Linked DNA regions of Oryzias latipes. The protein of the gene in region 4 purifies or fractionates together with the protein of the main gene of each other region. This does not show direct contact. Links are inferred from orthologs where the notes say so. Each region holds a gene or a part of one and is shown on either strand. Other genes may lie near its edges.

Region 1 (7,971 bases), on a different chromosome or scaffold from region 4:
ATTTCGCACCAACTCAGGCTCCTTCCCTCCCAGAGAGGTGACATTCCATATCCCAAATGCCAAGTTCCATGACCTCGACTGCCACCAAAACCACCTTGCACTGGCCCCTTTTGAGGTCTCCTATGTGTGGCAGGCTCATGGGAGAATGGTCCCATGTTGCTCCTTCGTGATGTGCCCGACCGGGGTCTGTGGGAAAAGCCCCGGTCACCAGGCGCTCGCCTGTGAGCCTCAACCCCGGGCCTGGCTCCAGAGAGGGGCCCCGGTGACTCCAATCCAGGCGACGTAATCGGGTCCTTGTTGTTTCTTTTCATTAGGGGGTTCTGATCCGCTCTTTGTGTGGCTCGTCACCCAGGACCTGTCTGCCATGGGAGACCCTGCCAGGGGCTTAAGCCCCAGACAGCTTAGCTCCTGGGATCACTCGAGCTCTCAAACTCCCCCACCACGTTAAGGTGGCGGTTCACGGGGGAGCTGGCTGATGGGTCTTTTTGTGAGAGCATATTGGATGCTGAGTCGTCTTGCCCCCCATCATGTGCGGTCCTTCAGGGTTCAGTTCTAGGACCACTGCTGTTCTCCCTCCACTTGTTGTCTTTAGGTTCTATCCTTCGGAGACACAACGTTGCCTTCCACTGCTATGCTGATGATTGCCAGGTCTACTTACCTTTGAAAAAGAATGATGGCTTCTTAGCTAAAGCACTCTTGGATTGCCTACAGGGCATAAAAGTACAGTTGGCCCTGAATTTCTTATATTTCAATGAAAACAAAACAGAGGGCATAATGTTTGGACCTGGTGGCCCTTGTGAGTCCACTTTGCTTTTTAAGATTGACAGTGATTTTAAATTGGAGGGCCAGATTGAATCAGTGGTGAAGTCCTGTTTCTTCCACTTAAGATGATTGGGAAAGGTGAAATTGTTTCTTTCCAGGCAGCACTTAGAAACCTTGATACATGCATTCATCACATCCCATCTGGATGATTGCGATGGACTTTAATTTGGAATGAGTCCGTCCTTGCTATCTCGTCTGCATCTGCTTCAGAATGCTGCTGCTCGACTTTTAACTGGGACTCGTAAGAGAGAGTGCATCACCCCAGTCCTTGCATCACTCCACTGGCTGCCTGTGTTTTATAGAGTTCATTTTAAAATTCTCTTGCATGTTTTTAAGTGTTTACACGGTCTTGTGATGCGTCCGGGACCACCACTGGACGAGGTTGTGGTGCATCCGGGACCACCACTGGACGAGGTTGTGGTGCATCCGGGACCACCACTGGACGAGGTTGTGGTGCATCCGGGACCACCACTGGACGTGGCTGTGGGGGACGGCGGGAACGACGTCGACGTCGACCCCCCCTCATGGCGAGACGGCTCCCAGCATAATCTGGACGGCTCCCACTCCAGGGAGATGATGAAAACTGGGCCTGATCAAAAATCCAAAATGTTCTAGTCCTTTCAGCTTCCTGGCAGTAAGCCTCTAGGAGCATCATGTCCCGCTCCGCTGGGTCCAGAAAAAATGGCTGGTTCATTCTGTCATGTGTAGAGGAGGCTCGAGAGCCGGTTGGACCCAGACGCAGAAGCGGAGGCACGAGGATCAGGGACTAGTGGTTTTAATACAAGGAAACAAACAAAAAGCGCTGCAGAGCAGGTTCACAAAACAAAAACAAAAACTTACTTGGGGAGGCATGAAACGTGGACGAGGCAAGAGACAGGACCATGGACTAGACAGGACATGAACACCATAACAGAGGTAATGAACCAGCACAGGAGGAAGGCAAAGACAAGACTTAAATACAGACAGGGCAGACAAGACACAGGTGGACACGATCAGGGCTGATGGGGACCAAAGGAAGTAAAACTCAAGAAACAAGACAAGACAGGACCTTTCAAAATAAAACAGGAAACAGAAAACAAGACAGAACAAGAACTAAGATGAAAAACAAGACAACAAACTCAAAACCATGACACTCTAAGTATTGTAGACTACAATTCTACTGTTATTTTATTGTATGTTATCATTTTCTTCATTTTTTATTTATTTCTGTTTTATTTATGTGAATATGTGTGTCATCTTTTGAAGTTCTAATAAAAAAAAGAAAAAGAAACTAGAGGAGCTGCATTTCCAGAAGAAAATGCAGGGTTGAATGCTGTACTGCTAAATGAAAGCTGAATTTGCTGAAGAAATGGTTGAACTATTGAAAGTTTGAAGAACACAAAATGACTGCCAAACGGTCGTCATCCCATGATGCTGTAGTCTAAAGCCTTGTGATCATTTTAACATTTGAATGGTGTCCCTAGCTAAAAGTATGTTGAAGTTATAATGGTTGAAAGAAGCTGAAGTTTTCAAGGATTCTCCATGTATTTCAATGAAGGTGAAGTCCTGGAATATTTTGAAAAGTTCAAGGGTTTGAAGGACCAAAATTCATGGCTGGAATAAGCTGAAACAGCAGAACATTTTAATACTAGAATGGTTTAAAATAGGTGAAAATTGGTGAGAATTTGTAGAAGGAGTTTAAAGCCGAAAAACGGTGGAAGATGCTATGATAAATAAATAAATAAAGAGAAACATGGAAACAAAAGGTTGAATGCTTTACAGCATTTCAATAACCCAAAAAGAAAGAAATGGAATATACTGTGGTCCGTTAGGGGGCGAAACGGGTTCGACATTTTTCTAAAGGAAGACACGAGTGACGCTCCTGCGTCACTTCCGCTCTACTTAAAAAAATGGCGTCCTCTTTGCCTCAGAGTGGTACGAAGGAAGCGAAAACGGACAAAAATCCCACAAAAGCTAAATATGACGGTGGGTTTCTTTGTCAAGCAGCTGGTTACCGTTATATTACTTAAACTGCTGATTTTTGTGGACTCGGAACTGATCTTTCCACGTTAAACAAGCCACATGTCCGGTGAAAACGTGTTTTGATCTACTGCTGCCTGCGGCTGCGTCATTTATTCAGCGATCTGTGTTAACTTTATTTAAGTTTGTTTGTTCGGTGACTTAATCTGCATATACTGCAACACTTTTCCTAAATGTACTTGTTAAAAACAAAGCTTTAAATATCGTATTTTTGTTCTACCCTGCCCTCTATCGGACAAAATTATCATGAAGGATGTAACGATTATCGATGTCAATTAATCTATTTATCCAACCAGATCGATGTCTGAAGCAAGTTGTTTATTAAATCGACCTTTACCATTTTGAAATAGTTTTTAAATGAAATAAATTGATGGTAGTTAATTTCGGAAATAGCATTTAGATTGAGACATGGTAGGTTTATTTCACTATAAGATAAAAACCACCAAGTGCATCACAGTGAACAACACACATGTGATGTCATCAAAAACTGATCAGTCCATCATTCCAGTCCAATGTGTTGAAACACTTAGTCATGTGACCATCCAGTGTCTAGAATGTTCCCTTTGGATGAGGAAAAACAACAGTGGTGAACTTTAGGAAACTTACTAGAATGTGAATGGATTTGACATTCATTCTAGTTTACTTGTTTGTTTGGACACAGATTTCATTTATACTTGAATATCTTGAAGAAATTCAAAAATCTGGAAAAACTTCACCTGCATTGTTCAGTAGCAGGAATTTCTCTCTGAGTCACACTGCTTGAAGTTCTGGTTTAAGATGTCCTGGATCCATTTTAGGTTCGTTCATAATGAACCAATATCGACTTTTCTACATCTACCGGTACATCTATTACTAAAAACAGAACGTTGTTAGTACAATTCCTATCAATGAGAGTACTCTCCTCAAGGGAAATAAGGCATTCTGTTTCATTCATTTCAAGTGGGAGGTAATGATGGCACACAAGTGGTCTCCAACCCTGTTCTTTGGATCAGGTGTGTTCAGTCAATCAGAAACTGGGCTAACTCCATTCAGGTAATCAGCAGCTACTGAGGCAGAGTTAGCTGCAATTCAAGCAGGGCAGCGGCTCACAAGGAGCAGATGGAAACGCCTCTTTGTACACCATGTGACTTGATAACCATCACTTTATCTCTCTGTGGGGAACATCCATTTGGTTTTCAACCTTTCAAGTCTGTAGTTACCATCAACTTAATCATCCATTTCAAAGTTTTTATATTTATAACAAATCAATCAGGCAAGAAAAACATTTTCTTTTTGTGTAAAATGTCAGGATTGTTCCACACACTCAAACTGTGGGGAGAAAGTTGTGAAGAGTTCAATATAACATATTATTGATGAAAAATGTGGCTCATTTGAGAGAAAGTTTTCTGAACATCTCAACAGAACATGTGGGTCTCGCAGGAGTTGGATCCAAACTGTACGGCTGGATTTACTCCAAAATTTCTCGCCATTTTGTTCGGTTGGGGTTGTGGTATTAAGGTAGTGGGTGGGCGTGTAAACAGATGGGTGGGGGTGGGGTTCTTTCATGCCAACCATTCAACTCAGAGGTGAATTTCTAATGAACTCCTGCCGCTCTGCAGAAACGACACTAGAAAAACAACCCAGGTTTTTGGATTTGGGTTAAAAACGCTGTCATCCTAATTAAAAGACCACTGGGAACAAAAGATGGTCGAAGTGGAACTTCAAGGAATCTTTTTAACCCAGTTAATTTTATACATCTTTCATCAGAGTTCGTCGGATTCCATGAAACACTTTAAGTTTGAGGTATTGTGGCGTTTTGGTCGTCCTCGCTGTCGGGAGGAAAAGTCTTTGAGCCTTGACTGACCTGTGCATCCTGCAGGGGCAGAAGCTGAACTCATGACTGTTCCTGACGGATGGAAAGAACCGGCCTTTTCCAGAGAGGATAACCCCCGCGGCCTGCTGGAGGAAAGCAGCTTCGCAACTCTCTTCCCTAAATACAGAGAGGCGTACTTGAAGGAGTGCTGGCCGCTGGTGGAAAAGGCTCTTGGAGATTCTGTACGTAAAAACTCAGAAGAGAAGGAATCGAATCAGCTCGATAGATTGATGATCAATATTCTGGACTGCTTTCTCTGCTGAAATACTTTTCTGCCTGCTTAATTTGGCTTGGGATTTGATGCAATCAAACAAATATGTTATTTTCTGTATTAAAAAAACAAATTTGTTTTTCTTATATACTGTTTTTGAGATTTAAACTGAATGTAACACTTTCAGAGGGAAAATCATTGTTGCATTAAAAACAACAGATTTTTTTCCAGTCCTAAAAAATACAGCAAAAAAGTTGAAAGAAAAATGTATCCATAGGTTTGATGAATAGATTTTATATGTTCTAGAACAGGGGCGTCAAACTCATATTCACCGAGGGCCACATCAGCATAGCGGTTGTCCTCAAAGGGCCAGATATAATTTATACATGTAACTAAATGTAATGAAAAATAAATGCAACTACTCCTTAATGTTAAATAACTCATTTATTTAATTACCATAACTTTTTAAAGTGACAATTACAGTTGCATAGTAAAGATATGTTTGCTTGTTACTCTATCATAAATCCTTTTACATTTGATTCTGTCAGGTTAGGTTATATGGACAGTGTTTAAGTCCTAATGTATAGTCGCCCAATCTGATATTTCAAGTCTGATTCCCTCTAGATATGAATAAACACACACCAATTTTTATTTTTTATTTTAAGAAATTATAAACATTTATGCTCTTGCGGGCTGCGGCCCGCAAGAGCATAAATGTTTATAATTTTTTTAAATTTTTTATTAAAAACATAAATGTTTTTAATTTTATGCGTAAAATGACATGGAGGGCCACATTTGGCCCCCGGGCCTTGAGTTTGACACATGTGTTCTAGATGGTTTTTGGTTTTTGGATAAACTGGATTTTTTGAACCAGTCCTAAAATTGTTGCCTTGGTTTGGTGTAGTGATGCTCATTTTGTCTCTCAGCACATCAAAGCCTCTCTGGACCTGATCGAAGGCAGCATGACGGTGTGCACCACTAAGAAAACCTTTGACCCCTACGCCATCGTCAGAGCGAGGGACCTCATCAAGCTCCTGGCAAGAAGCGTCCCGTTTGAGCAGGTAAAGACTTAAGAGTCCTCTCTCATTAAAGCTGATTTTGTTAACCAACTGTTCAAAAATTAGATTTAACCAATTGTTTTGAAAAAGTAGCTTTTACACTGGTGGACAAAATAGTTGGTCCCCCTCAGTTAAAGAATTAAAGTCCACAATGCTCACTGAAATGACTTGAAACGTTCAAAAGTAACAAATTAAAATGTATTAAAAATCAAATAATCAAAATCAGCCATTACTTTTGAGTTGTTAAGTAATAGAATCATTTAAAAAATTTAATACATCAATACATCTTTAAAACCTGTCCAAACATTATACAAACAAACTGTTAAAACCTTGGATAAAAAACCCAACATATTTCACCATTGTCCAATATTACAAAAACATGGTTTACTGCATTGGGACAACATGGTCAAATTTTCAAATCTCTGTCTCATGTACAAAATCCTTCATGGCTTCTCATCCCCTCCTCTTCACCAGTTTATTAACATCCGGACAGCAGATCACAGCAGAACTCGGAGTGCAGTCAGAGGAGACTGTATCATTCCCTTCAGAAAAAGCACTTTTGGTCAGACCGCTTTTTCTGTTAGAGCTGCTACTGAGTGGAACTTCACACCTGTTAGTATCAGAAATCAAAACACATATCATTTATTCAAGACACAATTAAAGAAATGGCTCATTGACAATCAGAGCTGTCAACACTGAGTACATTTCCTATCACTGATCCTCATTACTGTCATGTCTTTTATGTGCACGTATGTTCTTACATTTTTCTGTTTTTGGATTGTTTTATCATTAATTTGATTTTAGGTTAACTGCTTATTTTATTGAATGCATTGTTTAATATATATATGTAATGTTATGTAAATATGTAATTTTACTTTGATCTTTTAGGGTGATTTTTAACATCTTCCCAGGGACTGCAGATGAAAAATAGCCCTTTGGCTAACTCTGGCATATTGACAGAAATGTTTATTAATATGCGCTGTCCCCCCTATTCAAATAAATGACTGACAAAAAACAAACTAATGAAATAGGGCTGGACATAGATGATGGTACCCATAACTTAATATTTTGTTGAACAACCTTTTGAGACAATCACTGCAATGAAACAGTTTCTGTATTTGTCAATGAGCCTTCTGCACCTGTCCACAGGTATTCTGGCCCCCTCCTCATGAGCAAACTGCTCCAGTTGTCTCAGGTTTGATGGGTGTCTTCTCCAAACGGCATGTTTCAGTTCCTTCCACTGATGTTCAATGGGATTCAGATCTGGGCTCATAGAAGGCCACTTCAGAATAGTCCAACGCTTTTCTCTGAGCCATTCTTGGGGTTTTTGGCTGTGTGTTTTGGATCCTTGTCCTGTTGGAAGACCCATGACCTGAGACTGAGACCAAGCTTTCTGACACTAGGCAGCACATTTCTACCCAGAATGCCTTGATAATCGGGAGATTTCATTTGACCTTGAACAACTTCAAGACACCCTGTGCCAGATGCAGCAAAGCAGCCCCAAAACAGAACTGAGCCTCTTCCATGTTTCACAGTAGGGACAGTGGTCTTTTGGTTGGATGCTTCAGTTTTGAGTCTACCAACATAGAGCTGATGTTCCTTACCCAAAAGCTCCGGTTTGGTCTCATCTGTCCAAAGGACATTTTCCCAGAAGCTTTGTGGCTTGTCAACATGCATTTTTGCTAATTCCAGTCTGGCTTTTTGATGATTTCCTTTCAACAGTGGTGTCCTCCTTGGTCGTCTCCCATGAAGTCCACTCTGGCTCAAACAACCATGAATGGTGCGATCTGACACTGATGTACCTTGATCTAGGAGTTCACCTTTAATGTCTTTGGAGGCTGTTCTGGGCTCTTTGGATACATCATAGTAGTAGGTTTAGGGGCTGTCATCTGGACTTTGTTTTTAAAGTTAGAAGACGTTTCAACGTTTCTTATCCAAAAGGGTTTTAAATAAACCTCCAAAGATTTCTGCTGCGTGTAAAAATGTATAAAAATGTTCTGGTTCAATTG
Region 2 (8,050 bases), on a different chromosome or scaffold from region 4:
TGCAAATTTGCGCATTGAGTAGAGGAGATCTTTCCTCTGCTGCTTCTTCGTGCGCAGACCCTCCTCATGCTTGTTGAGCCGGCGGCGCAGCGCTCTGGTCTTCCTGGGTCTCAGATCCAGAGGTTTGTACTTCTTGCCCTGTGGGAAACATTCAAAAGGGCAAAATTATTCAACTGAAGCCTCGTTTTTATCAACACAACGCATTTGAATTATTCTGAGCTTTGTGGAGCAGATTAGTCAAACACTGATGATTGTCAGCAGGATGCAAGTGTGGCTTTTACACTCTTCCAGGAGGACAACAATGACCAGTGAGATGACCTGACGGATCAGTGACCTGTTCTAACTCATGAGGATGTCACAGCAGCTTTCATTCAGTTGATGCAGTTCTGGAAGTTTCTACTGAGTGCCTTCCTATCTTGCTGGACTAATCAGCTCTTTAAGGGGATAAGTGACACCTAGTTCCTGTGTTTGGACGACAGAGCAGCTGAACCTGAACCGTTAAGGGCACAGTGGGATTGGGATGTTTGGTCCACCTGAAAACCCGTCTCAGAACCGGTCGGGTCACAACAGTATTTGACCAAAACGTACGGCCCTTATGGTAGATGTGATGACACCGGCCCCTGGACTTCAGATCAACATCAGAGTGCTGTAAGCTCCAGCCATGATGGATCTTTTCAGCCAATAGGAGTTAATGTTTCCCTCCAGCTGTTTTGGTGCACAGCTGCGTTCACATCAGGTATGTGACCCGCATTCTTGGTGTTCACACCGGACAATTCTCTTTTTCTACCATTTACTTATGCATGTCAGCCATTTACAGTCGGAAGAGGCTTTGTGCGAACTATCAAAGCGGTAGAAATCTTGCTCCGGGCTTTTTCCTTCACAGCTCCCTTCCACCACATCAACGACTGGGCGTTCTATTATTCTGGCCCAACACAAACCGCAATCATTTTCTCCTCCATGCAACACTACCCAATACGATTGGTCAAAGTTGTCCCTGGTTTAATCTTTAAAGTGTGTATATGTGTGTTTACATAGACCCTCATTGAAAGCGGCTGCTTGACTGTGCGCCGCAGAGGGCGGTGGACGCGTAGCATAAGATAACCCGTCGGCTCAGCCCAGCGGGTGTGCAGTGAGTAGACCCCTCTGTTCATTTCACAGTAGGACCGCCCTGTGAATTCTGTTAGAGGGGCAGGGAATGCTAATAATTTTCACACTTTCCTTTGGTTAGTTGCACACTGCGCTCTTAGGAGAGTTCAAATGTCTGGAAAATCAGAAAAATCTGTTGGTCCAGATCAAATCCTGAACCTTTCCTTTCCTTTTCCAGACTAAAGCTTGTACACAAAACAATGTGACCAAAGATCCCTTTACTCATTGGTCAGGGAGTGCGAGGACGGGGCAAAGCAGCAAGAGGCAGAAATTAAGGAAGTCCTGTGCTTTTAGGCTCAACAGCGTCAGGCTCAACACATTTTTAGTCAGGTGGAGACGTACCGGCAAGAAGACAGCTAAGAAGGTTCGCTGATGAGTGTTCATGACAAAAAGATTGTCAGGAAACAGTGAGAAGCAATTTGTCCCGCGTTAAAAGTTGTTTCACTATATCACATTTTAATGAGCTGCCGTGTCTCCTCGTTGTGGTGTTGTTGCATTGCTGTAACCCTTGTGCTATCGTAGGCACTTTAACATTGGGAGTTGGGTCATCTAGACCCACTAAACAGTGCTCTGAACCTTTTTTCTTCAACGATTTGTGATCTTCACTGGTGTCCATGAAATCTTTCCACCTTTATCATGGTAGGGAGAACACGTCAATGTAAGGGTGGGGTCATCTTGACCCCATAGGATAGCACAAGGGTTAAGACAATTCTGTTAAGGAACTACTAGGTAGCTTTTAGGATGACGTCACAGTGGTGCCTGTAGTGTGTGTGCTGCGTAACGAGACAAAAGTAAAAAGCATTTTCAGCAGTGTTAAAACATTCTAACAAATAGACAGTTTTTTTTCTCTGTTTGATAACACGACAATCACTGTTTTATATTTGTCCGCGGCTCATCTGTTGCTTCAGCCCTACTCTGCTTTAGTCGGCTACTCTTGGTCCAGTTATTCCGCTCCGGGGGACGGATTGTATTCAGACGGAGGAATCTCAGAGAGAACTAGAGCTCAGTCCGATTGGAAACTAACCGAGGCCATGACGGAAGGTGGGTCAGAGAGCGGTTCCTGGCACCTGCTTGGGTACATCAAGACTGAAAATTTGTTTTGGATTATTGGTGGTTCACTTTAAGCGTACCAAATGTGTTCAGTCTGAAAACGGCCTCAGTCGTGCAGTACTCAAAAAGAAAAAAGAAGAGAGTCCTGCTCGCCCTTTATACAGCTTCGCACTAAGCGTTTAACCACCAAACGTTTACCTGATTTTTTAATCATTTAGATTAGTGGATAGGTTTTTCCCCCCGAACATTTCTATGCATCGCGTTGACTTCGTTGATCGCCCCCCCTCTGCCCGGTTACATTCACCACTGTAAGTTTATCATATTAGGTTTAAGGGCTGTCATCTGGACTGGAAGTTTTCTGACTCCGCCCCCACGAGCGCATATAAACCAGCTTTTTTATCGGCTATTTCAGACTTGACAAGGCCTTTTGGATAAGATGGTGAAACAGCTTCTAATTTTAAAAACCAAGTCCAGATGACAACCTTTAAACCCACTACTATGATAGAGTCAACCTGGATGAATGACTCTTCGTGGACACCGTGAATGACACAGGGCAGCAGTTTAGTTCAGGTGGTAGAGCAGGTCGTCTAACAACCAAAGGTTTGTCGGATCAATCCCCGCTCTCCCCAGCCAGCTGTCGCCCCCCGAGCGCAGATAGTCTGCAGCTCACCGCTCCCCCCAGGGGATGGGTCAAAATGCAGAGAAGAATTTCCACATTGTGACAAAGTATCAATTATAATTATTAGTTAATCAAAAGCCTCCATGCATTCAAACGCTAAAAGTTTAAACTCAAGCCAGACTCTTTTCACTTTTTCTGATCTGCACCAGAGTCCGGGTGAGCTTCCACTCTCTGAAAACAAAGACCATCAAAGACCACAGTTGGCAGCGGTTTTGGGAGGGATCTCACCTTATAGAATTTCCTCAGGTTCTCCTTCTGTGTTTGGTTGATGACAGTCAGGACTCTGGCAATGGATTTACGCACAACGCGACTTTGAAGAAAAGAAAAGGTTGAAAATGAAAAGTTACGCTTTAGAAAACATCTTAGCAAGACAGTTGAATGTGACTTTACGAAGAATTATCACTTTAAATTAGGAAGGAAAATCTTTGGGCTGAAACTATAGTCATTTAGTTTCACAACGTTTAAGATTCAATACAATGATGTTCAAACAAATTATTTGTTTTTAGCTCAATTTAAAACCTTAATAGTTTAAGAAAAAGTAATTGAAAGTAAAATATTGGCATATTTTACTTTCAAACTATAAGTTGATCAATATTAAAAATAAATATTCACAATTTTTAAAGACCCACTCTGATGAAAATGATGTTTTTGGCATTTATTTTTTAATGACGGAGAACATTTATTACAAAAATTCAAGCTTAAAATAGCATTTCTGAGTATTTCTGTATTCAAATTGTTGTGAATTGGGAGCATATGAAAAATCAAGCCATTTTAAATAAAATAAAAATAAGAAAAGATCGCATTCGTGACTGAAATAAAACGCTGTGCATCTTTGTTTCATCGTCTGAGCTGCCATCTGGATCTAAACTGTATGGCTGATAGCTCCAATAATGCTCGCTATTTTGTTGTACCGCTAATGTTAGTTTGCTGAGGGGCTGTAAGCCAAAAAAATGCACTAAACAGCTCAGTTGTTGGGAAAAGGCGGCAGCGTTGCTTCCAAACGGTCCTGCCTACAACTCACGAAAATTTCTCATAAATTACTGCTTCTCTGCAAAAAAGAGAAAAACAAGTCCGTGAAAATAAAGTTTTTTGATTTAGCCTTAAAATGGCATAATCATAATTAAAATATGTTTACAAAAGATCAAAAGACGCTCAGAGTGGGTATTTAAACAATGTGTGAGCCTATGCCACTTACTTTTTCCCCCCATAATTTTCTTTTAACAAGAAAAATCTGGGGAAATTTTTTCTTTTCTTTCATTTTGTTGACCTTATAAGTTACTACTGAGGGTTGCTGGACATTTTTGAACATTTTGAGAAGACTGGAGAAAGGCTAGATGTTAAAGAGCAAATCGTCAGACCTAAAAAAACAGATTCAGGTAAGCTTTAGTTGCCAATTATCAACTCTAATTCGTTCACTAGGAGTCCATGATTCTTGAAGTAAACTATAAAGATTTCCGGAGTGGAACCATCATTAATAAATACAACGATTCAAAACCTCGTGGTACGTGTCAAGCACAGGTGATTACATTTTGGAGAGCTTGGAAGCGGCTCCTCCGGTCACTTTGGCCACACGCAGCTGGGACAGTTCATTCTTCAGATCGTCCAGCTGTTTCAGCAGCTCTTCCTTCTTCTTGCCCCGCAGATCTCTTGCCTTAATTTTGGCCTGGACGAGGACATAGGTGGGAGCAGGTCACTGTGCATGTCCGACTTAGGATCGCTAACACATTAACGCTAGTTCACGCTAAGCTAACACAGCGCGTCAACAAACAGCAGCTTTTGTCAATTATTCAACCAATCAAGTTAGTTTTTTTCTGAAACTTCCATAGGCGTTACATTAATAAAAAGTTAACTGTGTATGTAAACGAAGCTAGACAACAGAATGGGCTACTTTGTTCTGTAAGGACTAGCTAACATCTCAGCACAGGCGTCGTTCCGCCATAGCGCTCCGTTTCTATTAGTATTTTCCAAACTCTTGTAGTGAATAATCCATCGTCGCCTATACGAACTCAAACCCAATAACCTAAAGCACCTATAGAATGCATTTTCTGTCAGTTAAATGCGTGCTGAGAGGGGAAAAATGTCGTTAAGGGCCGAGTGCTCTCTTTACCCACCATGTTCCTCGTCGCCGCTCCGTTGGAAAGGCCGGACACACCGCGTGCTCGAAAAAAGTAGCTTCCGGAGGATGCGCCGCTCTCTCTGAAATACACACAGCGCCCCTTGTGGCGGGTAAGGAGTACAACCACATCAAAACCAAATCAGTCCTTCGCTTTTGACCCCGTCATCTCATGATAAAACATGAATCTAATCACACAATTATGACCCGAGCATACAGAAGGACCATTGTTTAAACGGAACGACGCGAAGAAGCTTAAAACAAAGGAAAAAGACCCATAAGAGACAAACTCAGAGGGCCAAAACACACTCTGCATGATGTACCTGTAGTGGTTTCTGCAAAGATTATTGTTATTATTATTACTATTGCTCTCCATTTTTGATTTTTGTTACACTAGTAATGTTAGATTGGGGTGGAAGGGGCTACAAGCTAGCCGGAGAGCATGTAAACAAAAAGCTCAGTTATGGGTGATGGGAAGGGGGCCCACAACTCAAGAGGGGAATTTCTGATGAACTACTGCCAAGAAACTATGTTCTAAAAAACGACAGTTTAAAAAAAAGGGGCTAAACAAGCATAATCATAATTTAAAAAAAATAGAAAACACTGGGAACGCTTTCACATTAGATCAAAACCTGATCAGAGTGGGGACTAATAAGCACAGCATTTTTTGCTTCATTAAACTCGCTTACAAAATGAACAGAGGTACAAGATGAAAAACAAAGTGAAATTAACATCTCAACCAATTTTTGCCCAAGAATATGTGTGGATAAACTAATTCATAGTGGATAAAGCAGTTATGGGAAATAAGGCAGCCCAAAAAAAACTAGATAATGTCCATGGGAAATAATTGTTGGGAAAAAAATTAATAAATCACACAAAGCCTTGTACATCCAATGATTTATAAAGTTTTCAAAGCTTGCCGTATATACATCTTTACATAAATAAACACATGGAATGTAAATTTATTTACATTAGCAAAAGCAGCTAAAAGTGGGACAATCCCCCACCTCAATCATAACCATAGCCTTCATTATTTCATCACATACCGTATAATTGTCTGAATAGGGTTGATTTAATTAGCTATAATAGCTATAGCATCTAGAATAGTTAGCAGGTAGTTTGGCATGATAAGCATGAAATCATATCCACCCACTGGGTTGACACCTGCTGGTTTTTGGTTTGTGATCTACCCAGATCAGCTGACAGAGGGTGGGCCAATTCGTGACAGAAACAGTCAAAACAGCCTCATAGTGTGCAGACACATTCAGATACCTGCAATTCAAAAAGTAGGCTAAACAGTTTGTAGCTCATCATACAAAGACGGTTCAACAGATGTTGGAATTTTAACTGTTAAAATAATGCTACACAAAAGACTGTTTCCAGTAAAAGGATTCTTCAAACGCCTCCCTAAAAACCAACATCAGAGTTTCTTCTGTGATATTTCAAGTATTCATTAGGAAAAATGTCACGGATTCTTAGCAGAATCCAGAGCATGAGAAGTAAAATATTGCCAGCTTTAAATCTCCACGTCTTCAGACAAAGTCAGGTTCCATCCTTTTTGTAAATGATGTGACTGTTGGACAGGTCCACCCTGCTGTTATTGGGACATATTTGCATAAAAAAGCAGTCTGCTATTTTTTTTTTAAAAACGAGTAAGAGAAACAAGCCCATGGAGCCATCTGTCCAGACATCCCAGTCACGCACAATTTGAACCAAAAGGAAGATTTGATGCAACTTCATGCAGTTACAGTGAGGGAATCCTACTCTCATTTGATGATACTAACACACTTTCCTGTCAATCGGTAAAAGGAAAGAAGTTATTTGTGTCACATCTCACAGCTTAAGTTGGATATCTGCTTCAGCTAGTGAGGAAATATTCGAATGAAACGATCCTGGATAAGCCCCCATTTCCCTTTAAGATATTGTGCAGCGCAGTTTCCGTCTCCCACAGACCGTTTGTCGCGTAAAGTCATTAAAAAAAGGCTCTTCAAAGTTTTGTTGAGTGATTGCAGTCACAACTAAAAGAAGCTTTGTTTCTGCTCTTCATCTTCCCTCCTCATCAGCTCCAGGGGAACGAGCTGCCTGAGATCGACGGCCGGATGATGCCTTTCGGGGTCGGCTTGGATCCAAACCAGGACATCTGAAACACGCAAAACAAACCAGTTTGGCTTTTTTTATTTTCTTTTAAAGAAAATAACCAGATTTTTCAATTTAAAGAAAAAATGCAAACATTTAATGTGACTTGACTACAGCAAAAACAATTGACCTCTTTACATAATAACATTACATAATAACATTCATGTCAATAACTTGACATGAATTAAGATAAGATAAGATATTCCTTAATTAGTCCCACGATGGGGAAATGTCCTTATTGCGGCAGCAGTACAGGAACAGAGAGCAGTATATAAAAGAAAAAGAAAGAATTAAAGACAAATAATTAAATAAAAACCTTGACGTTTTGAAAGTGAAATTAATCCAAAGAAAGAAGCAAAAGAAATGTTTAAGGCTTCGTATGAGCACATTTTTTTTATCACCATTTCCAGATCTTAAATCTAACCCCCTATAGAGGATTTCAAACAAGATCAAAGTGAAATTATTGCTGATTCAACCTTTTTTTTCAAGTATTCATTAGGAAATGTCACAGATTCTTTGCAGAATCCAGAGCATGAGAAGTAAAACTATTCAAACAGTTAAATCTGTTTGTTGGAACAATCTTCCAATGGATCCCTGCCAGGTTTGTATGGCCATTACAACAGCATAACTAAGTTTTTACACAATTTTAAACCAAAAGTCTTTTGATACATTTACACGTAAAATGTTTTTTATGGTAAACATGGATGTGAGCACATCTCAGAGGTCACTCCGGGAGAGTTGCAGAAAAAAGGGAAAGAGTTCAGGCCCCCTCATCAATTATTTAAGGAAAAACCTATGTATTCAAATAAAGTAAAAAACTGACATCTAAAAACCTTTCAAAGACTTTAAATTCAAGACTTATTCTGGAGAAAAATGCCAAACAAAATGGAATTCCCTATCCTTGTAAAGCTACGTTCACTCTGCCC
Region 3 (7,272 bases), on a different chromosome or scaffold from region 4:
CGATTTACTTTGGACACCTTAAGTACATAAAGCATGATGTTGCTTTCAAACCTCCTGTTCTTTTGAATACCTCCGCCTATCTGTTCTTCATAAAAATGTCCAGTTATTAGCTTTGCTAATGTGGAAACTAATATGTCTGCAAAATAAACAGCAGTTTGCTGCCATCAATTTGTATTTAAAAGAAAAAAAGTTTTGTTGCTTGGATCGGCAACACTGGGGTGTTATGTGACTTCCACCTCCTTCATTTTGTTCACACATTTGCAGGTATAAAACTACTAAATATATATCCATCTTTAATTACAAAATCTAGTTATAAGTGGAAAAAAACAGGAAGTCTTCCTGGGAGAAATCTATATGCTAATTGGATATCTTATTACCAGATAACTGCTGTTGTGGCATAAAAGACACCAGATTATCTACGTACTCTTTTAGAAAAGTCCCCCACATAATGATCTAATATTTGGTGGACATGTTAACCCCCCCCTTTGTCACGGGACTGATATTGATCGGCTAACCTTTGTTATTTTTCCTCCACTAAAGTTGGCAAACCTCTTCAGCGACAAGGTCAGAACGTTAGATGTTCGATGGACGGTGAAGCGCTTGGTGGCCGGCACTTTCTTCTTGCACCTTTAAAAAAAAAAAAGAAATCACATTTGAATGAATAGATCCTTAAAAAATTGAGTTTTGTTTTATTCCTCCAGTCAGCGTTTAGTGTCAGGTCATGAAAAAGGAACTCACTTGGCGCACATATAAGCATTTTCTCCACTTAAAACATCTGGTTTAACAAACAGTTCCAGGGCTCGAACGATGTTTGCCGTTTGCTGGAAAACAACAGAACAATGTTCTTGAAGATCGATTTTTTTGTTTTTTTTTAATCATCCACTTTAATCAGCTTTACAAGAATAAATGAGGTTATTGTAGAAATATTGTGCTACACACCCGTATCTCCACAGCGATGTCAAGGTAAGGGTCATAAGTATCTGACACACTTTTGCAAATAGAGCACTTTACTGAGGAAAAGAAAAAAAACTTTTAGACATTAAACAACGTTTAGATCATCATCAGAATATTTAGAGCTCAGTGATGCATCACCATTGGTAAGAAAAAAGTCTGATCTAAGTAGAGAGGGTGGACCAAATGAACCCATACCTCTTGACCTGAGGTAACCTCCAAAGATCTGATGGACCAGTGTTGTGGCCTGCGTTTGCCGATCCAGCCTACAAGCAGGAAGAAATCCGTTGGTTCAAGTCAGACCAGCATTCAGGTTTCTCATGTAAAATCTTCTCAGCAGCCTTACTTGGGGTAACCGTTGAGACAGGCTTTCTGCATGGCATCGATGGTGTACCGCAAAAACTCGTGAGCGTCTTCCTGACTCCCAAAGCGAAAATGTCGGGCAATTTCTGTTGGAAAAAAACAAATGCATCACACGTTTTTGGAACACTGCACATAATAAGATCAACTGTTTGTAGACATACATAAACAGTGCAATTGCTCTTTAAATAACTACAAGCTTTTATATTGATATAATACTTTAAACCAACATTTTCTCAAGACACAACCTCAGATTACAAGAAAACTTCCACTGTTTTGTGTTTCAGAAATAACAGCCAAGCAGTGACTCATAACTCCGGCAGCCTTGTGTCCCATTTACAGTAAACGCCTCACATTACGGCTAATGTAGCTATAAACATTTGCTCCAATGTGATTTCCTAATGGTGAAGGCATCATTCTAATGTGATCCTCACATTCCCAGCACTGCATCCTTACTCACTGAAGATAATGGAGTCACCTCAGAGTGGGAAAACAGAATGATGCGCTTATGACGAATTAGTGAGGACGAGGGAGATGACTAAATGTTTTGCATTTGCTTGTTGCTTCTAGCTGCAACCATCAGTTGTGTTAATGTGAAAATGAGCAGCAGAGGAAGGCTAAAGCTAAAGCTGCTGTCCTAAACCTGCAGTCAGGAGGAGTCAGAGAGGATAGAGGGGGTGCACGACTGCAGCAGGACACCGGGAGAAAGTACGCAGTAGAGCAGTGAGCGTGAAGGTGAAATTCACAATTAATCCCAGCTCTCCACAAGGTTAAAAAGAAAAAAAAAAAGCTACCAGCTCCTGACATGGTCTACTTTTAAAACGAGTGGGTGAAAAAATGGAGAAAAATCGTACTTTTCAGGTCCCTGATGAAGGAAACGGGCTTGATGGCATTGCCGGTGTTAGCAAAGGTCTGGATGATGTGGTTCTGCATCACACAGATCATGCAGAAACCCGACTGATGACCTGGAACACACATGAGACGGTAAAAGTCACAAAGAAAGCAGCAGCACACTCATTTCTGCTTTCATCAAGTCTTTAGGATCATTTTGAGAAGAACAGAAAAACAAAACAAAATAAATTTATGTTACTTTTTTTTTCTTTGCCATCAGAGAAGTTCCTCTGTTGAGAAATAGGGTGCAGAAATCAACACCCAATGCAACAAAAACGTTTTGATGTAAAATTTATTTAGATAGTTAGTACGCCTGAATTATCAGCTAGGACTCACAGATAAAGCAGTTTTATATAAAATGTTAAAATGTGTTGCTAAAAAGGTCTAAAAATTGAATTCTAAATGCATCAATATTGCTTAGTATTATAGAGACACTTAAGTTGCAGCTTTAGTCAGCAGTTAAAAACAGAAAATGTCACTTTCTTTGCTTTTATTCGTTTACTTTTTAAGGCTGTTCTTTAAGGAAAAAAATGCTATGGACAGATTTTTTTCTGTTAAGAAAACTAAGATGCCAAACCTCTGGAGGTTTCACAAAATGTTTTGATAGCAGCAAATGAACACAATGGAGATAACTATCTTTACAGACTGTAGCAACAGATTGGTGTACAGTATCTTTTGGAGTATAGGTCACAATTTTTGTTTTTTGCCTAGTTTGGTTGGTCCAACATGTATGTACCGTAATTCTTTTTAAATGAATACAAACAACCACCAGAGGGCGCTGTAGTTGTGTGTGTCGGTGCTTGTTACTGCCAGCAAATAAGAAGCGCCGCTCAGTCCTCGACTACATTCACACGGACCTTGGCGAGGCACGATCAAGCAACCACTTCCACTAAAAAGGCTGCGTAAACGCGGGTTCCAGGCTTCCGCGCTCAAGTGTCACTTTGCACGTGTTTATGATCGCTTTCAGGCTCTTCCTACTAAAAACCGAACCATTACAGGTTAAACCAGGATGAACTTTGACCAATCAGGCACTTGGCTTTGGTAGTGCCTTCTGTGTTTTCAAAACACACAAATGCCAACCGTTTGAAAATCGATCTTGGAGGAGAAATTAAGAATTCCTGTTTGTGCCGGAATTCTGTGACACCACGTCTTTTACACATCCAAATAGAGCTGTGAAAGAAAATGCCTGGAGCAAGATTCACAAGATTTGCACCGTTTTGACATTTCTGATCTGTGGTGGATGGACATCCGCTAGAATCGGGTAGCGACAGTCCAATAAGACCGCCGTAGGCTGCAAGTTCTGGAACGTGCATCACACCAGGCATGGCGATAAAGAACTCAGTGGATTTAGTCATTTAAAGTGATAGAAAGAGTTTTGTTGACTTGTTTATGGTTATCTTAAAAATGGTTCATGTTCATTCAGCCCCACACTTTCTTGGTCAAGTTGAAGTAAACATTCTTTATAAAAGACATTAGGTCAGGAACATTTTGCCTCGTCAACAATTGTTGTGCATACACATTTCTTATTTTAAAATGAAAAGTTAGAAAATAGGCTTAATAAGAACCTAGACAAAATCTATGTACCCACCCCACCCACACACACTTCTTTTCATTGATTTGACCTCACCTCACTCAGCAGACAGACCATCCTGTGATCTTCAGCTACACCAGTTTGCAAAAACGCCACATTTGAGATCTCCCCGTCAGACTAATGTAAGCAAAGGGGACGCAATAGAAAGGACTCACAAGTGCGACTGTGCTCCTTTGAGAGTAAGTAGTTGGCGAGTGGCGGGGTGTAGGTGAGACACTGCACAGTGGAGTTGAGGAAGCAGGTGTTTCCGAGGTTGTGAAGGCCAGCTCCCACCCTGTACACGCGCTCCCACTTCAGAGTCAGCTTGTTTGCTGGAAAGAGCATCTTCTGCGGCGCGGGGATCCCGTCACTCTGGTTCCAGATCACATTTTCCGAGACTAACAAAGCAAGGAAACAAACTGTCAGCGCTCAACAGCCAAAGAAAATTTCTTTATCTAAAATGTTCAGTTTCACCAGCTTTACCTTGCCTCTTTATCGGAGCAGGCTCGGACGCCTTCTGCCCCGTGGCGCCCTCACTTCTGGGATTCAGAATCACATACTTGTTCTTGAGGCTGTCCAGCTGATAGGAGAAACCTTTGCTGGCCGGCTCAAACTCGATTTTCTGCAGGAGGACCTTCTTGGCAGACGATGCCAACAGCTTGTTGAGATCCCCGTCCTCACCAGAGTCCTTTCGACCAGGTTTCAACGCCTCCTTGAGTTTATCCACTATCGGCATCGTTGGACCATCACTGAGGAGAACGTAAGCCGGTGAGTATTATGGGCTGTTAAGACTACATCATTGCAATTGAACTACAATGTAACATTGACCCTTTGGTCCACTCAGAACAGTCTACAATAGGGTTGTGTACATTTCCCTCCCACAGCTTGTCACAGCCATTTCAACACATTCTTTGTGATCAATAAAAGTGTGACATTAATTTATTCAGGTTTTGTTTGCAGTGCTAGAAAAAAAGAGGTACCATGTGTTTAGTGCACACAACATCCCCCACTTTGGTTAACCTTCGGCCAATTAGAATTGACCCAACCTGGAAGACGCAGGCTTGGGATTGGACATCTTCGTCTGGCGTACAGTAGAGAGAACCTGACAAAGAAATGTTTCACCATCGATACAACCTTTTTTGTATCTGTGGCATTGAACCAATACTGCTGTGTTTTTTTTTTTCCAGAACTAGATGTATTTTGTTCTCCTTTACATCAGCGGTCCCCAACCCCCAGGCTGCAGACCGATACCAGTTCATTAAAAACAGTTTGTGCCAGAACGCAGAGAGAGAGAGAGAGAGAGAAAGACAGGAAGTTTGGACATTAAACAGGTCCATGGCCTGAATAAAGTTGGGGTCCATTGCTTTACACTCATGTATAACCTTGACAGGAAGTATGGCGAAAAAAAAGATTCCACCTTTTAACACTAGGGGGAGCTGTACAATGTGTAGGATCTAATGAGAAGACAAACAAAAGCTTTAAATAATTTAACATTTACAATAATTACAATTCTTCAAACAGACTTTTCCTTTCTTTATGATTTTTCCTTATGGCAACAGGAGATTACAAATAACTCAAATCAAAACCAGTTTCTAAGTCATAAAGCCCAAACTGATACTGTCTTTTCTGTTTTGATTAAACAAAAAAAGTGAGACATTTTCACATGTCTCTCAAGTTTAGCTGCATTTTATTGACTCTGAAAGCTTGAACGCTCTTTGCCTCATCAAAGCACATCTGATGCTGCAGCACAAACAACACGGAGGGTTTCTGAGGCCAGCTGGCGCCACGAATCACAAGTCAAAAAGATGGGGACTGAAGTGGAGAAGATATTGACAAAACCCCTTCAACCATGCCACTGTTTTTATGACAGTCATGTTTTCATTGAGATGCTAATAAATCACCAGAACAGCAGAAATAGACTGTATGCTGAGCTCTCAAACCTGGTTTTCAGAACAGCGTCTGTATTTTCTGCCAAACTGAATGCAGTGATTACTTTTCATTCAGAGTCCCTTTAATGAAAATAAGATTTCTCGATGACGCTGGGGGAGTAGAAACACTGCATCGTGCTGATTTTTAGGGGTATAATGAAGCAGCTCCCCAAGAAATGTGTTCGTCAGAGAGGGCAGTGACGTCACAAAGAGGGATGAAGCATGTATTGTATGCACAAGGGCACACTGACCTTCTCATGCTGCTGATACAACTAAGAACAAAGCCTACAGGGACACACAGCCATCTGGAGGGATGCAACTGCTGAACGAGGAATAAACGCAAACATGCCGTTTAATCAGAACACGCTTTAACTGAACCTCATGAACACACACTGAAATGAAGATGAGGCTCTGCAGATTTTTTAACCCCCTCAATCTTACAAACATACCCAACATTCAGCTCACTGTGAGAGTTATATTCATGGATCGCTGTTTTCTATAAGGTTGAACGCTTTTATCTATGTTTAATGCTTGAATGTCTTAATGACCTCAAACCCGATTTCCCATTTTCCCTCAAACCAATTACCCATGAAGCCCTGATTGCAGGCTTGTGGAACAAAACAAATGACAAAGACCTTTTTTGTACTCAAAACTCAAGTGTCTTCACGACGGCGGTCTTCAAACTGTATACTCATGCCTTTGAGTGTGTATTGGTAGGGAGGAAAGGGGTACACGTTTAGAACATAGAAACCTTAAGATTTGATGTAGAGGCAAAAAAAATTAAATTCTATGCAATATGTCTTTAACACTTGATTTTTGGCAGGATGAGGAAGAAATGTTTTATGCTCTTTTGGCTAAAAGGAAAAACTTTCTCCCAAGTTTAGATGATTCATGCAAATGAATGAGCTTCTGTCAAAATCCTTTTGTGGTCATATCTTTTTTTTTTTTTCAAATAAAAGTTTAGTTTTTCTTCTTTTTTCCCAATACTAATGAATTCCCTTATAGGTCCCTATGTTTAAAACATTGTTTAATCACTTTATTTCGTAGAAATATACCAGTTTTGAGCTAATTGAGGTAAATGCAGCAAAAATTCTGAATGAAATGTGAAGGTGTGTAAGAAAAAGTGGCTTTTACAGGAGATGCATGCATTAAAAAGAACAAATGAAAGGTAAAGCAATAATCATGTTGTCCACTCAAGCGTGTAAAAATGTAAAAAAGCTTTAATAAATCTTACAAACAGATGGAGATTTTCTTTAAAGCTACCTATGGAAATATTGAGTGAGATATATAAATTAAAACATCATTTTTGATAAAATTCGGGAATAAGGATACATTTTGGACAAAAGTAAAAAGCAAAGAGTTTACTTATTAATAATAATCAAAAGATATTTCAAAATACTTCTTAATGGAACCAAAGGTTTATTAGCATCACTTGAAAACTGCTAACTTTTCTATTATTGTAAAAACTTACTGGTAAGTTAGTGTATTCATTTACTGATTTTATTTATTTTTATGTTGATAAGGTGAGCTCAGTAACAATCTCATGCTAAAATGCTAACACGAGTACAACAA
Region 4 (7,977 bases):
CTGTTACCAAGTCTTTGTCTTGGTCGGAGTTGTAGCTCAGTGCTGATGCCTCTGCTCGTTCCAGAAGATCCTTCACGTCATCCACCATAAGACTGGGTCTCTTCCTCTGAGCCTTGGGTCCAAATGTGGTTTCAAAGCCTTCTGTGTCTAAAATGTGGACTTTAGAGTTCTATGAATACAGATAAAACCATTCTTAGAGCATATCCTATTCTATTAATCAACACAAAGAAGAAAGAAAAGATCAAAATAAGCAGGACGTCATTTGTTTATCCCGGCCACAAAATGATTTGTTCACGACTTTTTTGTATTAATTGCTCAGACAGAAAAAAAATGATGTCGTACTTCAGCCCCAGCCTTGTTACTATGCGTCACAGTAACTGTTCATGGCAGAACAAAAGGACGAAAACAAATGACAAGCAACCATAATCCATACACAACAGCAGACGACAACAGCCTCAGAAATATTCAAACCATGTTCCTACATCAAGGTCCTCTGGGTTTATTTGTGAACATTGTGCCAAAATATGGAAAAATAAGACTTCTTTCCCAGGAAGGGAGGGGAGAAAAGTCATTTATTGTATTAAGAAATACATAAATCGGAAGAGGCATTGAAAGGCAAAAGAGGCTCAAAGGCCTCCGACTCACATGGGCTTTGACTCTGTCGTGCAAAAGAGACATAGGCAGTTTGCTTTGCTTCATCACAACACGATACGGGTCCTTCTGCACAGCCCCCATTTCGTCCTGGAACTTTTGAAGAGACGACTGTTTGATCACCCGGGTATTTGCTGAAACACAACACCAAAGAAATATTTAAGTTAGACTCCTTTGGATTTCTTTTTAGACATAATTACAATATAACTGATTAGTTTCTTCTGTTTCCCCTCACTCAGAGAAATAATAACCAACTTTTAACTGATAAAATCTCAATAAGAAGTCAGCTGAACTTCATTTTTATTGTTGGCCCTGCGACAGACTGGCAACCTGGGCAGGGTGTACCCTGCCTTTGCCCAACAGTAGCTGGGATAGGCTCCAGCAACCCGGTGATCCTAGAGGGGATTCTGTGGGTTTGGAAGAAGACGGTTTATTATTTTACGATGAAAGCGCTACACTGAAATGTAACCAACTTTTCTTGCGGCGTTTTTTTCTTCAAAGCTATTTTGCACCATTTTGTGTGGAGGGAGGTCTGACATAAAGAGACATGTTTTTGTGTTATTGTGTATGTCACGTTTGGTCAATTAGCTGTGACTTGGTAGCCATGATGTTTGAATCATAAATCATATTTTAGGAATCTTAAAAACGCTTGTTTGAACAGCAGTCGATTCTTGTGATTAAAAGTCTTTTAGATTGAAGTTGGACTACGGCCTCAAAGAGCATTTCCTGATAAAAACAGCACCACAAAACTTTGGAACTATTATATCATACTATGTATTTTAGTCACATAACACCCGATTTTAAGCTGTCATTAAGCATCTCTATTACTTAAATTTGAGCTAATATGAAGAAACAAAGCAGTGTGTTGTACAGGTGAGAATTTAAGGCTGTATTGATGGCAGTCTATTCAATAATTAACCAGTTATTATCACTTCCATTTCTTTCAGCTCCTCAGACTTCACACAGTCTATAAATGGACGGAGATCAGTTAGGCTCTTGGTTGCCCAAAGAAGATGAGAGGAACAAACAGAAGGTCCAAGTTGAAAGAGGGTAAAATCTCACAATGTCCCGTGTGAAACAATGACGTCAGGTCAACCCCTGAACTGCAGAATTTAATGATAAATGACTAAAATAAAATGTAAAAACAGTAATTTATCTGCACATATTGGTTTGACACAACTCAATTTTCAAGGGAAAAGGAGAATATTTCTCATTTCGGGCGGCCATGGTGCAGTGCTAGGGCGGTCGCTCCCATGATTGTAAGATTGCAGGTTTGATTCCCTACTAGCACGCCCATGTGCTGAAGTGTCCTTGGGCAAGACACTGAATCCCACCTTGCCTCTGGTGGGAGGTTGGCACCAGTGTTCGGCAGCGGAGCCGCCACCAGTGTGTGAACGTGTGTGTTCATGGGTGAACGGGTCTGTGACTGTAAAGCGCTTTGGGCCTTATTCGAAAGAAGGTAGAAAAGCGCTTTATAAGTATACGCCATTTACCATTTAAATTTGAAACATGCAGAGCACACGCCTCAAAGTCTGACGCTGTGGTTTTTGACTAGTAAAACGATCATTTACCCTCTCCAGATTGATGGAAAGGTCATGCTCCAACTACAAGAGTTTAAGTACCTTTCTTGTTGAGGTCTCTCACTTAAATATGAGGGAAGCATGGAGAGTGAGATTGAGAGAGTCATAGATGCAGCGGGTGCAGTAATCCAATGGCAGAATAAGGAGGGGCGCTGAGCCAAAATGGGCGAAACTCTCATTTTACTGGTCAATTCATGTTTCTGCCCTCACCAATAGTCATGAACTTTGGAAACAATAAATTCCCAGATACATGCAGCCAGAATGGGCTTCCACTGCAGGGGGACTGGGCACCTCTTTAAAGCAAGAGTCAGGGGCTCAGCCACACAGAAGGAACTCGGAGTAGAGACCCTGCTCCTCCACAGCCACAGAAGCCAGGCTGGGACAGCTCTGGGACAACCTCTGCCTCCTGGATGCCTTCCTGGGGAAATAATCTGGACGTGTCTGGCCTGGCAACACATCCGAGTCATCCTGGAAGGGCTGGAGAAAGTTTCTGCCTTCAGGGCATTTCTGCCGAGACCAGTGATGGGCAAACCTTTTGACTCCTGGGCCACAAAAGGTTCTAAAATTTGATGCATGGAGTGTTTTGGTAATCCATCTCATTAAAGAAGGAAATAACATGGTATCTGGACAAAAACATGTTTTAATTTAGATTGAAAATGAATATACATGTTTTAAGACAGAACATTGTGGAAGTTTTCTTTTGAAACTGTGGCTTTTGTTTTTATTGTAGTGCCAATTACACCAATGGGTGGCTGTTCCTCAGGTGAAAAAAAGCAAACTTAGAGAAATGCTGCATTTATGTGGTGTTGGAATGATCGGAAAAATATCCGCTCCACACAGAAAACGCACATGACCGTAAGAAAGACAACAAGCCTTCCAACACCACATGAATGCAGAACAACTGTCTACACCTAAACAAAGCTCAACCTATTTGTAGTGCACCGTTTATGGGGACACTCCAGAATTGAAAATTAAACTTTAAGGATTTATCAATATAATTTATTCCATCTTGGTGGGCCAGATTAAGTAGTTTAATAGGCTGCAGTTTGCCCACACCTGGCCCAGACTGTTGCTTCTGTCTACCAGGTTATTATTATTTTTCAGCTATTTAAGCTAAATAATAAATGCTCATTACAGCCTAAATTTCAAGCCTTTTTTTATAGCTTCCATGATTTTTTTATGATACAATTTAAGACACACAACATTCACATATACAGCATGAAGATGATACTTACTAAACCACTTGATGTTTGGCTCAACTCTGGCTACAGTTCCTGGAGCGACTGTAGATTGATACTGTAGGGGTTTGATCACTTTTCCATGTTTATTACTGCGAACAGAAACTCAGCATCAGTGTGAACAAAACCAATGATTAAAGTTACAATAAATATCTATAGAGAAGCAAGATAAATAAGATCCCTGTTGAGAATCAATTACCATCTTTGTTTCTGTCTGTACATATTCAGACGCTTGATTGTGGCTCGGTCCCTCATGTTGTTCCCACCAGCTCCCTTTGCCCGATCTGTAAAACGCACAAGATGTAGTCAAGTTATTCCTTCACTAGTGAAACCTGTATCGGTTTTTCAAACATGTCTAATCTATTGTCCTAACAACAACATATATTTTACTACTAGAGAAGATTGTTTTGTGTTAGTTCACTTCAAGTTCAAAATGTCAGAAAACTTGACAGAATTATTCGGTTAAGTGCAGCAACAAACAGTCCGCTTTCTCAAATTAAAGAAGTAAAACGTATGTCTGCTTTAGCTTGGTTGACACTTAAGCTTAGCAATTGAGCCGGCAAAACGTTTTCTTTACTCGTTAGCCATAGTAGTTAGCATCGAGTGTAAACAAACGTGTGCTAGCTCTGTGCTTTAGCTCACCGGGGTTGCTGCTGGAAGATGAGGGATTAATCGAGCATTTCCCCTTAAACTTCGGCTTCACCATGTTGAAAACTTCCCTGGCAAAGCCTACCAGAAGAAAACCGAATGGAAAACCTGAGGACTATGTCCAAAAAAGAAAATTTAGGCACTATGTTCTGTACACGTACTATTTACACGTGCTAGAGTAAAGAAAAAGGAAGTGGCGTCATAGAAGGAGCGACAGACGATCTAGCCAATCAGAAAGCTCCTGGGATTTTCCATCGTGCAAATGATGCTCTTGTGTTTTTAGGATCGCAGCTCTATAAAGTGTAAAAAAAAATACTAATAAATTGTAAAAAACAAAAAAAAAAACATCAACATTTTTTACAGTCACATCTAAATTATGAAAATGTTTAAACGGGCATCAGTAAGGTGAAATCTTGCAGATGAAACTCACTTAAATCACATTTTTCTGTGCTTTATGAGTCAATTAATAATAATAGGTCATGCCGCAGTTAAAATAAAGTTAAACACATTTGATTAAATAGTTTATCTTTAGCTATGTTTTTATGATGATTATGCATACTCAATTTACTCAGTTCAGGCTCCCACCGTTTTTTGACTGTATTAAATTCAAGAAGTTTTTTTCTGCAGCTGTAATAAAAGGCAGTTTACAAATGTGTGACACCTGAATTTTACAAAAAAGCAGAATGCTAACTTAATTCCTATGGTGTCTTTAGGAATTTCAATTTTAATTTTTAATCTTACTTCCTTTCTCTCAAAAGTTTTACTTTGACTTTTAAGACAATAGAAGCGATTACTGCACAATGACCTTTCTGTTGTTTAAACTGTAAAATGTTCCCCCACACCATAAAAAGAAGTAAAATTCTATTTATAAAATAAATATCCTAGAAGTTATTAGATCAAAACAGCCAGTCACAGAGGCCACAATTATTTAATAAAAAGTGTTACAAGTTGTCGGTAAATCTTTTAAAAAATTGGAAAGAGACCATCCGGCACTTAGTTTATGCAGCTGGGAGGCAAAGGAATGCTCTCTGTTCATTTTCTGACAAACGAAAGGTGATTTCACTTTATCTATAATCCTTTTGAAGGAAACTGTTTTGGGTCACTATGTTAAAGTTCAAGCAGATGAAACCCAATTATTAAAAAAATATGAATTTGAATAAATTTTTAATGTTAAATTTAATCTTATAAGATGTTTTTTTTAAGGTTATTCATGCAGCGAGGAAACAGTTGTCGTTTCTAATTTTTTTAAACTTCAGAGACGCTGTAATTTTTTAAAGTATTATTTACAGTCCCCACAACAGCAGCAGACAATCTAAAGCCCCACCGCCCTTCCCGAATGTGTTGCTTCAGTTGCTTCCTTGCATGAATTTGCATGTGTTTATTTTTTTAGTAAATCATCAGATCCCATAATGTCTGTCAAATGCAACACATCTTTGTGACCATCTGTTGAAAACCCCTCAATGTTAGCACTGTAAAACTGTAGCAAAACAGTAAACTAGTAGTCTTTTTTTGTTTTTCTTTTCCTCAGTTTGCATCAATATGAAGTATTTCAGATGACATCTTACACAACCTGCTCTTAATCAGCTTTCCTCAGAGTGACCACAGCCAGTATTTTTCCTCTTCATTCTGCGATTGAACATTTTTTTCTGCTGCAGAACCAAGTTGTTGGCTAAGATCCATATCCTAATTCATGTAAGTATGCCATAAAATATATACCAAAAAAGTAAAGCATTTTCAGAGTACAAAATTTTTTAACTGGATGTTAACATGCTATTTACGATTGTTTACATTTAAAGATCCAGCTCTGCTGACGAGCAGTTTTAAACTATGTAGAAAGAAACAAACAAAGATAAAATACTTAAAAATAGGAGATGTGTATTTCTTTCATAAAAATTTAAAAAAGGCAGCTGCTTTAGGAAGTTTAGGTATAGCTGGTGTGATAATTTGATATGTTGCTCCCTTCTTCTCAGTTTTGAACTTAAAAGATGGAATTAGTCTTTTTGATTTTGATTTTTTTTCCTTTCCAGAGTACTGAGCAAAGGATGTTTGCATGGTAAGAATAAACCAAAAAATAAAAGTATTGCATTTTATTCTCTAATATACAAGTGGTGATAAATGTTTTATATTTCTTACCTCTGAACTTTTAAATCAAATTTTTATCTAGATCAAAGACATTTTGAATACATTGAATTACTTGTATATTTTTTCTGAGTTTTGTGCCATTGTAGAATGCACGCCAACTAACAAGTTTTTTAATCGTGGAAGAATCAATATGGAAACGCTCAAATGAGTGTGCTTTAAAAGATATTTGTCAGGAAAACTGTGAAAATCTAACGAGCTTACTACAGCAATAAATTCACAGAAAGCTGTAAAACCACAGCACTAAAAAGAAAAAAAAACTGTTTTATTGTAAACAATCTAATTAATCAATTACTTCCTTACGGTGCCTGCATAAGAATTCAATATGCTGTGGCAGGAATTACAAACATTTGCTTTAATAACCTTTGCACCCTCTCGTTCCTCATTCCCGTAAGGGCGAAGTGCGAGATGTAAAAAACGTTAGTGGCTAAAGTCCTTCAAGTTTTTTTTATTCTTTATGCTCATGATTTATAACACACTAGAGCAGAAGTCAGTGAAATAGGTTTAGAGTGACAAATGTTTCTTCACAAGTCAGTGACAATGCATTGAAGCTGCACAACCACCCAAGCAAATGTGTGCATTTGTGGATAATGCGTCTGCCTTAAGCACTAGGTTTGTCTCTGCTCCCAGTCAAAAGTGGAACAACAGTGAAATGACAGAGCACAGGCTCTGGTGGGCCTGACTAAACAAAAAGAGAAAAATTGATGAAGGGCTTAGGGGTGCTCCCCTTTGCAGCCTCACTGTTGAGAGCATTTGCAATAGAAAAACCAACATTTCTGCGATGAGTGTTCCAAGGCTCAGATGGAAGGCTACTGAAAAACTCAGGGCTGACATTGTGGTGTCAGGAGCTATTCTTTCTGTCTTTTACAGTTGTTATTATTTTTACTGGAACTGATGCAACTGAAACTAAAAATTATTTTTACAATGCTCAACAAAAAAGCAAAAATTCAACTTTGTGGTTGTAGAAACTATTGTCCTATGGTTATAAAATTCACAAGCTCTTTTTAAAATATAAACAGTTTGTTTGCTTTTCATTTTAAGCATTTCTATTGTTATTTAATGTTTTAGTACGCCACATTTGAAAGGTTTTACTTAAGTTTAAATTTCAAGGACTTCACAAACATTTCATAGCATCCTTTGGACATTTGGTGCCTTTTCTCATTAAAGAAATGTAAGTAAGTAAGTAAATCTTCATTTAAATAGCCCTTTTTGCAGAGAAAGACTCACACAGTGCTTCTCAATGTTAGAACAATATGAAATAGTGGAACTAAATCAATTTTTATGGACCTCTTGTAAGAGCATAATTGTCAATCTAAGTTCACGCCTCTCTCAACGTGTGTTCACCTCTTTCAATAAAAAAATCTAAGTGAAACATTTCTGGCTTCCACATTTAAAACTGGCGCATTCACAAGTTTCTACAACCAGTTTGGGACTCTATGTACAAAACACAGCAAATCAGGGACATAGATTTAGTAGCGACCAATGGATGGTGTCCCTTGTAATTTATGGAAGTGTCACCGCTTGAATGTTAAACATGGAGGAGAATTCAATAACTGTAGTTTCTCCCCAACCAGAATTATATGACACCATTTCTTTCATATCAGAGTAGCTGTGAAGGAAAACGCCTGGAGCAAGATTCACAAGATTTGCACCAATACGACATTTCACACCAAGCCTCTTCCAACTGTAAGTGGCGGACATGTGCTAGTAAACAGAAGCAA

The links.
Region 1: the proteins of gnl2 (region 4) and krr1 purify together in Homo sapiens (affinity purification with mass spectrometry; 3 studies listed by BioGRID and IntAct, with this or other methods). This does not show direct contact. The link is inferred for Oryzias latipes from reciprocal best matches to the Homo sapiens genes GNL2 and KRR1.
Region 2: the proteins of gnl2 (region 4) and rpl35 purify together in Homo sapiens (affinity purification with mass spectrometry; 3 studies listed by BioGRID and IntAct, with this or other methods). This does not show direct contact. The link is inferred for Oryzias latipes from reciprocal best matches to the Homo sapiens genes GNL2 and RPL35.
Region 3: the proteins of gnl2 (region 4) and ubiquitin carboxyl-terminal hydrolase 36 purify together in Homo sapiens (affinity purification with mass spectrometry; 3 studies listed by BioGRID and IntAct, with this or other methods). This does not show direct contact. The link is inferred for Oryzias latipes from reciprocal best matches to the Homo sapiens genes GNL2 and USP36.

Annotation. Positions count from the first base shown.
Region 1 is NC_019863.2:1,179,005-1,186,975, forward strand, and holds the start of krr1 (KRR1 small subunit processome component homolog), read left to right. Parts: upstream 1-2,660; 5' UTR 2,661-2,711; coding exon 2,712-2,787; intron 2,788-4,699; coding exon 4,700-4,875; intron 4,876-5,830; coding exon 5,831-5,965; intron 5,966-7,971. UniProt on the Homo sapiens protein: Part of the small subunit (SSU) processome, first precursor of the small eukaryotic ribosomal subunit.
Region 2 is NC_019867.2:28,010,921-28,018,970, forward strand, and holds the start of rpl35 (60S ribosomal protein L35), read right to left. Parts: upstream 5,109-8,050; 5' UTR 4,990-5,108; coding exon 4,987-4,989; intron 4,539-4,986; coding exon 4,402-4,538; intron 3,186-4,401; coding exon 3,104-3,185; intron 139-3,103; coding exon 1-138. Other genes in the region: golga1 (golgin subfamily A member 1), read right to left, coding at 7,048-7,128.
Region 3 is NC_019866.2:10,402,039-10,409,310, forward strand, and holds part of ubiquitin carboxyl-terminal hydrolase 36, read right to left. Parts: intron 4,522-7,272; 5' UTR 4,509-4,521; coding exon 4,256-4,508; intron 4,171-4,255; coding exon 3,949-4,170; intron 2,277-3,948; coding exon 2,166-2,276; intron 1,401-2,165; coding exon 1,298-1,400; intron 1,218-1,297; coding exon 1,150-1,217; intron 1,011-1,149; coding exon 940-1,010; intron 822-939; coding exon 739-821; intron 628-738; coding exon 516-627; intron 1-515. UniProt on the Homo sapiens protein: Deubiquitinase essential for the regulation of nucleolar structure and function. Required for cell and organism viability.
Region 4 is NC_019874.2:23,618,544-23,626,520, forward strand, and holds the start of gnl2 (nucleolar GTP-binding protein 2), read right to left. Parts: upstream 4,316-7,977; 5' UTR 4,176-4,315; coding exon 4,112-4,175; intron 3,754-4,111; coding exon 3,669-3,753; intron 3,562-3,668; coding exon 3,467-3,561; intron 786-3,466; coding exon 646-785; intron 170-645; coding exon 1-169. UniProt on the Homo sapiens protein: GTPase that associates with pre-60S ribosomal subunits in the nucleolus and is required for their nuclear export and maturation.